Xenopus tropicalis: one gene and its partner. The protein of the gene in region 2 interacts with the protein of the main gene of each other region in a pairwise test. Links are inferred from orthologs where the notes say so. Each region holds a gene or a part of one and is shown on either strand. Other genes may lie near its edges.

The links.
Region 1: the proteins of urod (region 2) and lratd2 interact in binary tests that used the Homo sapiens proteins (3 or more experiments, as listed by UniProt). The two-hybrid records come from large-scale screens. The link is inferred for Xenopus tropicalis from reciprocal best matches to the Homo sapiens genes UROD and LRATD2.

What each region holds. Positions count from the first base shown.
Region 1 is NC_030682.2:140,886,957-140,891,307, forward strand, and holds lratd2 (protein LRATD2), read right to left. Parts: upstream 2,919-4,351; 5' UTR 2,798-2,918; coding exon 2,583-2,797; intron 2,394-2,582; coding exon 1,559-2,393; 3' UTR 492-1,558; downstream 1-491.
Region 2 is NC_030680.2:90,479,655-90,483,466, reverse strand, and holds part of urod (uroporphyrinogen decarboxylase), read right to left. Parts: intron 3,668-3,812; coding exon 3,588-3,667; intron 2,386-3,587; coding exon 2,323-2,385; intron 1,500-2,322; coding exon 1,302-1,499; intron 863-1,301; coding exon 701-862; intron 148-700; coding exon 10-147; intron 1-9. UniProt on the Homo sapiens protein: Catalyzes the sequential decarboxylation of the four acetate side chains of uroporphyrinogen to form coproporphyrinogen and participates in the fifth step in the heme biosynthetic pathway.

The DNA of each region.
Region 1 (4,351 bases), on a different chromosome or scaffold from region 2:
TAGGGGGCAATATAAAGTTTGAGATAAGGGCAGAAATGAGCCTGAAATGTGGCTGGGCGCGTCATGAACCCATAACATTGTTCCTGCAGTGACTATAGCAGCCCATGTTGCCTAAGTGCGGACTGCGTGTCTGTAACCAAGGTAACAGACTCAAACACTGACTGTCTCTGTTGGAGCACAGCCCTAATGAGCCCCCTCAATACATAGAATGTAACGAACTGTCCCACATTGTGAGCACACTACCTGCTATACATACAAAGGGCACCTCCTACCCACGTGGCCATTTAGTACATCTATGGGACCGGTTATCCAGAATGGATCTCCAAAAGTTAAGTCTGCTAAAGATCATTTAAATATTGAATAAACCCAACAGACTTGTTTTGCCTCCAATGAGGATTAGTTGGGGTCCAGAACAAAGTACGGTTTTATTATTACAGAAAAAAAAAAACAATTTTTAAAAATTTGAATTACTTGATTATAATGGAGTCAATGGGAGATGGCTTTCCCGTAATTTGAAAACTTTTTGGATAACAGGTTTCCGGATAACAGATCCCATACCTGTACCTACTAAGTAGCCTGTCATATAACAGGTGAAAACACATATCTCCCCTGCCTTAATTGCATATCAGCCGTGGTTCCACCATGACATGAAATCCAGCTGATGGGAGTTGAAGTTCAGCACTGATATCCCAGCTCTGTCATTTAGCAAGATACAAAAAGCTCTGCTTAACACATGCAGCAAATAATCACAGTAATGTGATAAAAAGGGGCAAAGTGTAATAACCCGCAGCAACCAATCAGATGCTTGTTTTCAAACAGGTGACCAGTACAGGCAGTCGCCTGGTTGTTACGGGTTACTAGACTAGTGGAAACCGTTGCACCTTTTAGTACATTACCCCCAATCAGTGTAAACAATGGCAGCTGGCTGGACCTCTGGGCACAATGCAGGGGTAAGGGGGAGGAATGGTGCCCTGCTTTGGTACAAACACCAAGACTGTAGTATATTTCAGCCTGAACCACCATATAATGAAACCAGCCCAAGATCTCAGCTGTGGGTAGGGCAAGTAGCAGAAGGGGAAGGCAGAACAAGATGGCAGCCACAAAGCAAGATGGCGACAGTAAAACTTTAGATCAGGGTTTCCCCCTGCCAGTCCGGTGTTGTACAACTCCCAGCACCACCAGGGAGTTGTATCTCAGCCCTTATTGTATTCCATCAACAGCTGAAGGGTCATAGGATATAAAGAGTCGGGCCCTGGGCCCCCAGCACTACTAGCGCTGTAGGGCAAACAAGCAGCCGGATCCTGCCAACACATCCAAGGGGCCACACCTCCCTTTAAACACAGGCAGAACTGGTTCCAGTTGGGATTTGCCTTAAAGGGAAATATTCCTTTTGGGAGTGAAATGAAACGCCAGAAATTGGGATATAGGCAGTGGGAATTCCGCAAGCGTGAGGGGGGGGGGGGAGTGAAATGGTTAAACCCAAAGTAATAAGAACTGAATAAGCTCTCCCCCCTCACATGTGATTTGAAAGGAACTGAAAGGGTTAAGTGGCTGCCCCTCAGTTGTTGCCATTGGGCTCTGTCCTGGGTTCCTCCTCACCATGGAGGTGGCTGGCGAGTTCCTGCAGGAGGGCGGCTTTGCCTATCTGATCGTTCCTTCTCCTCTCCATGATCAGGTCCTCCAGGCTCTGGAACTCCAGCGTGTGGCTCTTCTTCTCGGAGAGGCGAATCCGCAGCCGGTAGGGCTGCTTGCCTATGCGGATCTCCCCGCCGATCTTAAACTCCCTTTTGCCGTAGCGGCACCAGGCGGCGAAGCACTCGGAGTTGCGCCAGTTTAGCTCCTGCTCCTTGGAGCCCACCTGTTCCATAGCGTTCTGCACCGCCACCTCCGGGCTCAGCGCCTTGAATCGGTAGCGATCGTTGACGATCCGGCCCCTCCGGCCCTGGCTGGCGTCCGTCACGAAGCTGTTAGCGATGTGCAGCCGGTACAGATGCACCACCTGGAAGTCCCCCACATAGAGCGCCCAGTGCGGGTACTGGTTCCTGGCCACAAACTCCAGCAGGTCCCCGGGCTTGCACCTGTCCAGCAGCTTCTCCGGGGAGTAGGTCCTGCCCCGCTCCGCTCCGCCCAGGCTCCTCTCGTAGATACACTCGTCCCGGTAATACACCGAGCACTCCACCTCGTTACCGGGATCGTAGGGCAGCTCCTCCCGTACTACTGCGCTCTGCCTGCCCGGCTCCTGCCCGGGCTCCTCCAGTTCATCGTCGTCCGCCGAGAAGATGTAGGAGACCCCGATTCTGGGACCTTCGTCCTGATCTACACCGGTCGGATCCACCGTGGGGACTTCTTTGTAGCTGAGATGGGTCAGTTTCTCCACCTGGTTCCCCATTGATCTGTAAGGGAAACAGAAAGTGTTTGAGTAGCGTCAACTCTTACTAACAGGGGATTGTGGGAGTTGTAGTCAAGCCCCCGCTAGAGAGTCGCACCTGTTGCAGTCGGTGTTGCCTGTGAGACCCCACCCTATGGGGCAGGGAAGGTCGGACAGGTGCGGTCAGTACCAGCGGAGAGAAGTTGCCACTTACCGTGCGGCGGCCCCAGCCAGGCAGCGATCCCTCCGGCTCAGGACTAAACAGAGGGCCGGTGTCCGGGCACAGGGGGGCCCCCGGGCGGGATCATGGCACATGCGGCTCCCTGCGCGCCGGAGTCTGTACTGATCCGACCGGCTCAGCGGCTGCACTGACTGTGTGCGACTGTAGCACCGAGAGCTGAGCCGCTGCACCCACCCAGCCCTCACCATTTAAAGCTACAGTGCACCTGCCTGACTCAGACCTGAGCTCTCCCAGCGCTACACCCAAGCCTTAAAGCTACAGGGCACCCTCCTGAGCTCTCCCAGCGCAGCACCCAAGCCTTAAAGCTACAGGGCACCCTCCCGAGCTCTCCCAGCGCTACACCCAAGCCTTAAAGCTACAGGGCACCCTCCCGAGCTCTCCCAGCGCTACACCCAAGCCTTAAAGCTACAGGGCACCCTCCTGAGCTCTCCCAGCGCTACACCCAAGCCTTAAAGCTACAGGGCACCCTCCTGAGCTCTCCCAGCCCAACACCCAAGCCTTAAAACTACAGGGCACCCTCCTGAGCTCTCCCAGCGCTACACCCAAGCCTTAAAGCTACAGGGCACCCTCCTGAGCTCTCCTAGCGCAACACCCAAGCCTTAAAGCTACAGGGCACCTTCCTGAGCTCTCCCAGCGCTACACCCAAGCCTTAAAGCTACAGGGCACCCTCCTGAGCTCTCCCAGCGCTACACCCAAGCCTTAAAGCTACAGGGCACCCTCCTGAGCTCTCCCAGCGCTACACCCAAGCCTTAAAGCTACAGGGCACCCTCCTGAGCTCTCCCAGCGCTACACCCAAGCCTTAAAGCTACAGGGCACCCTCCTGAGCTCTCCCAGCGCTACACCCAAGCCTTAAAGCTACAGGGCACCCTCCTGAGCTCTCCCAGCGCTACACCCCAGCCTTAAAGCTACAGGGCACCTTCCTGAGCTCTCCCAGCGCAACACCCAAGCCTTAAAGCTACAGGGCACCCTCCTGAGCTCTCCTAGCGCAACACCCAAGCCTTAAAGCTACAGGGCACCTTCCTGAGCTCTCCCAGCGCTACACCCAAGCCTTAAAGCTACAGGGCACCCTCCTGAGCTCTCCCAGCGCAACACCCAAGCCTTAAAGCTACAGGGCACCTTCCTGAGCTCTCCCAGCGCAACACCCAAGCCTTAAAGCTACAGGGCACCCTCCTGAGCTCTCCCAGCGCAACACCCAAGCCTTAAAGCTACAGGGCACCCTCCTGAGCTCTCCCAGCGCAACACCCAAGCCTTAAAGCTACAGGGCACCCTCCTGAGATCTCCTAGCGCAACACCCAAGCCTTAAAGCTACAGGGCACCCTCCTGAGCTCTCCTAGCGCAACACCCAAGCCTTAAAGCTACAGGGCACCCTCCTGAGCTCTCCTAGCGCAACACCCAAGCCTTAAAGCTACAGGGCACCCTCCTGAGCTCTCCCAGCGCTACACCCAAGCCTTAAAGCTACAGGGCACCCTCCTGAGCTCTCCCAGCGCTACACCCAAGCCTTAAAGCTACAGGGCACCTTCCTGAGCTCTCCTAGCGCAACACCCAAGCCTTAAAGCTACAGGGCACCCTCCTGAGCTCTCCCAGCGCAACACCCAAGCCTTAAAGCTACAGGGCACCCTCCCGAGCTCTCCCAGCGCAACACCCAAGCCTTAAAGCTACAGGGCTCCCTCCCGAGCTCTCCCAGCGCTACACCCAAGCCTTAAAGCTACAGGGCTCCCTCCCGAGCTCTCGCAGCGCAACAC
Region 2 (3,812 bases):
CCTACTCACCATGGGCACCTGATCCAATCCCTCAGCTTTCAGTTTATGTTTTACTCTGCGGGAAATATCTCTAAGATATGGGAGAGAAAAATCAGAGAACTGCTGGGGTCCAAGGCAGCCAGCATGGGACTCAAACACTTGCAAGGCCTACAACACAAACAAAAAAAAACCTTATTAGGCGAAACTTTTAGCCCAGATAAAATTGCTATACCATGTTTGTAGCACGTTTTTATAAATTGTTATTCATGCAGCTTTTAAATAGGTGTTGGAAACACTTTTTGTGCAATGAAATTAACCCATTAATAACAGTAAATATCATATCAGCAAGTATCTGAGTTTAGGGGGAATATATTAACCAAGGCAACATAGTTTTCAGTGTGCAGTATGCTAAGTGGGTTTACGCAACAACAATATGGCAGAAAAAGAGGGTATTAAGGGAAAAAGTGATGGGGTTCAATTGTTCCTGCAATAATAGTGGCTACAGCTGCGCATTACATTTGGCCCAAGTCATGTGATGACCAGGGAAAACCCTCATATATGCACACCAAGTACAGGTTATAACCTTTTATAAATTCATACATTTACCTCTAAAAACAAAATGACATTATCCAACAGTACATAAACTTTTTTAACATGTATATTTTATTTTAAAGTTGTTAAAAATCTAAAAGCAGTTTTTCACATTACCAGTTTACCATACCTGAGCACCCGCTGCTACCTGGCCCACCAAATATTCCACAATGACATCAGTGAGTTGCTTCAGAAGCTGGTGGCTAGCAGAGGGGTGTTGGTACAGCCAGCGCTTTGCTTTGGACATAGTGTTAGATCCTCCTCCCTCTATCATGTAGGTCATCAAAGTCCACTATAAGTAGAAAGCATGAGATATAAACTAATGACATGAACTTACATTTAAAAGCCATTCAGCCATTTAGAACTACAGCTCCGCGATGATTGTCCTTCCCACAAAAGTGCTCAGTTGTGGCAAGAACATAAGTTCTCAGGCTTAGCACTCTTATTTAGGGTTCTTTATAAGACCATGAATAGTGCCCACTCTGAGCCTGTGGCTGATTTATGAATATAGGCTGCCAATAGTACTGCACTTGTGCATATTTTATGTTGTGGTAGGGTCAGCGACACTCTCAACCTGCAAAATAAGCTGCAAACCAAGTCGCTATTACCAAGTCTAAAACAAAATTGCAAAAACTGCTCAGAGAACCACCACAGCTATATATTTTTTGGGGTTTAAATTCCCTTTATGAATTGTGTATTGTCTTGGCATTGCCCATGTTAGCAACACTTACTGGTGCACCAGTAAATCCAATCAGGGGCACCTTTCCTTCTATTTTATGCCGTGTAAGTGTGATGGCATGAAATACATATCCCAGCTCCTCTGATACATCCACTGAGCTTCTAAGCTTGTGCAGGTCCTGTGGGGTCTGTAAAGGTTCAGGGAATACAGGTCCCCTCCCAGGTTCCATCCGGATCTCCATTCCCAGAGCCTGTGATAAAAATGGATACATACAGGACTTGACAACAGATTCTATGAAATAGAGCAAACCCATTCACTACATATAAATAAAATAAGGAGCAAGTGTTTGTTTATTTACAATCCCTAGTTCCCTTTCATCTCCCGAAGCATGTTATGTGACAGTACCAATAAATAATGACTGCATATGGCAGAATCTACAGATTGCCAATCCAGGCCATCTTGGGAAACATGTTCAGTAGTTGCTGAAGCTTTTGCTGCTGCTGGAAAATGTATCAGTTCATATATCAAACTTTAACAGTTTAAAATAATTGAATTGTCCCCCAACTTATTTATGTATTCTCTTGGGATATAAATGGTCTCTGGAAATATGGAAGGCTCCTAAATTGGCAAGGGAAAACAATCAAGTGTCAAGGTGCTAATAGAACTACTCCCAAATCTCCTCCTCAAGTGGAACATCTATACTGTAGATCGAAACCCAGCTACTGTGATATCCCTATGCTGTCTGGCTCTCTGGAGTTCAAAAGTATTTTTTCCACTCCAGGGTTAGCACCAATGGCTATGTCCTGTTAATTGCAGAGTTTAACACATTTACTAAATGTACACTAAATATCAGCATCAGAATATTTAAATCTGTATCTGTGGTAGTTAAAGTGCATAAACTTTTAAGTATCTTAGGGCAAGAATATATCTCAATGTAATCCTAACCAATAGGATTACAGTGTTTTTATTCATGGGTTATTACATGCATAGTTTATAGACATAAACTGTTTACACATAAAGCTCTTTTCAAATAAATGTAAAACTGTTTGGTGGCTTCCTGCCTTCATTTTTACCTGTGGTATCACGAGGATGTCTGAGAAAATGATAGCAGCATCAAGAGGAAACCTCCGCAGCGGCTGCAAAAAAATACAAAAACTACATTAAACAAAAAACGGGAATTAATGTCTATGTAGGTAACCTCCTTTTCAGTCTTCCAGCCCATAAACATAGTTCCCAGTATGTATCAGAGGGTGTTTCTGTACTGCTTGCCTTGGCTGGGGCGTTCTGCAGATGTCAGCATAATAATAATAAGAGTTTCTAGGCAAATACATTTTTACATAAGGGAAGAAAAAATTAAACAGGAGGGTTTATTTTCTCTTTAAAGACACACCAGTGGTGGAAAATGGATTTATTTACATAGTGAAAACGTGCATGTAGTACAGGTACTGTTATGACTAAATCCTCCCTTTGATGAGCAGCAGTCCTGTCATGCTTGCTTATTAGCCATCTAATGACAGTGGCTCACACTGCGTACTGATCAACGCTTCTAGGGCCAGAGACCTAAACGTTGCTACCTGCCCCAGATCACTTCCTAATCAGTTAAACAGGAACTGATGTGAGTTACCTACTACTATTGCTCCAAGTGCATTTTCTCTGCTTTTCAGTTGCTAGGAGTGGAAAGCAACCCTAGGATATTGCAGCATTTTGATAACTGCCTTAAGCAAAAAACAAACTGCTGTGTGTGTGCCATGGTTCTAAGAGTTGCAAAAAAAAGAGCCATTCATCCATATATTTAAAGGGGTGGTATGTTATAGAATATTTTATTCCTAGCAACTTTGCAATTGGTCTTCAATATTTCTTTTGTAATAGTTTTTAAATTATTTGCCTTCCTCTTCTGACTTTCCAGCTTTCAAATGGGATCACTGACTCTGGCAGCCGAAAAACTATTGCTCTGAGAGGCTGCAATTTTATTATTATTGTTGTTTTTTACTACTTATTTTTCTATTCAGTCCCTCTCCTATATATATTGCAGTCTCTCATTCACACATCTACCTGGTTCATAAGGTAAACAAGACCCAAGCAACCAGATAGCTGCTGATATTTCAAACTTATAAGCATATAAAGATAAAACAAATTGTTTGAAATACTGCATCCCTTCAAATATCTGGAGCAGAAATAACTGAGATAAAGCTAACAATCAATAAACTCCTTGGTCCCCTACACTAAATTCTAAATCTTTTTTTACTCCACAGATAAGCATAAATAAATGTGTCCGGTTGTGGTTATGTTGCCCCGAAACGTTCCCAATTACTTCATATTTCTCTGCCTTCTCCATTACCTGCAGTGTGAGTTCACAGCAGATTTCAGGGCTCCGACATGACGCAAAGAAATCCTGTCCAGCGCGTGTCTCCCGAAACTCTGCAAAGAAGAGAGTTTAGTACGTATTTAATAGAGATACAGTTATCAACCTAAAGTGGGTTTCCTTTTTGTCCTCTTTAAAAATTATAATCCTGATAAAGACAGGCCAAAGTGACTAAGCCGTTATTAATACAGCCCTCTGAAT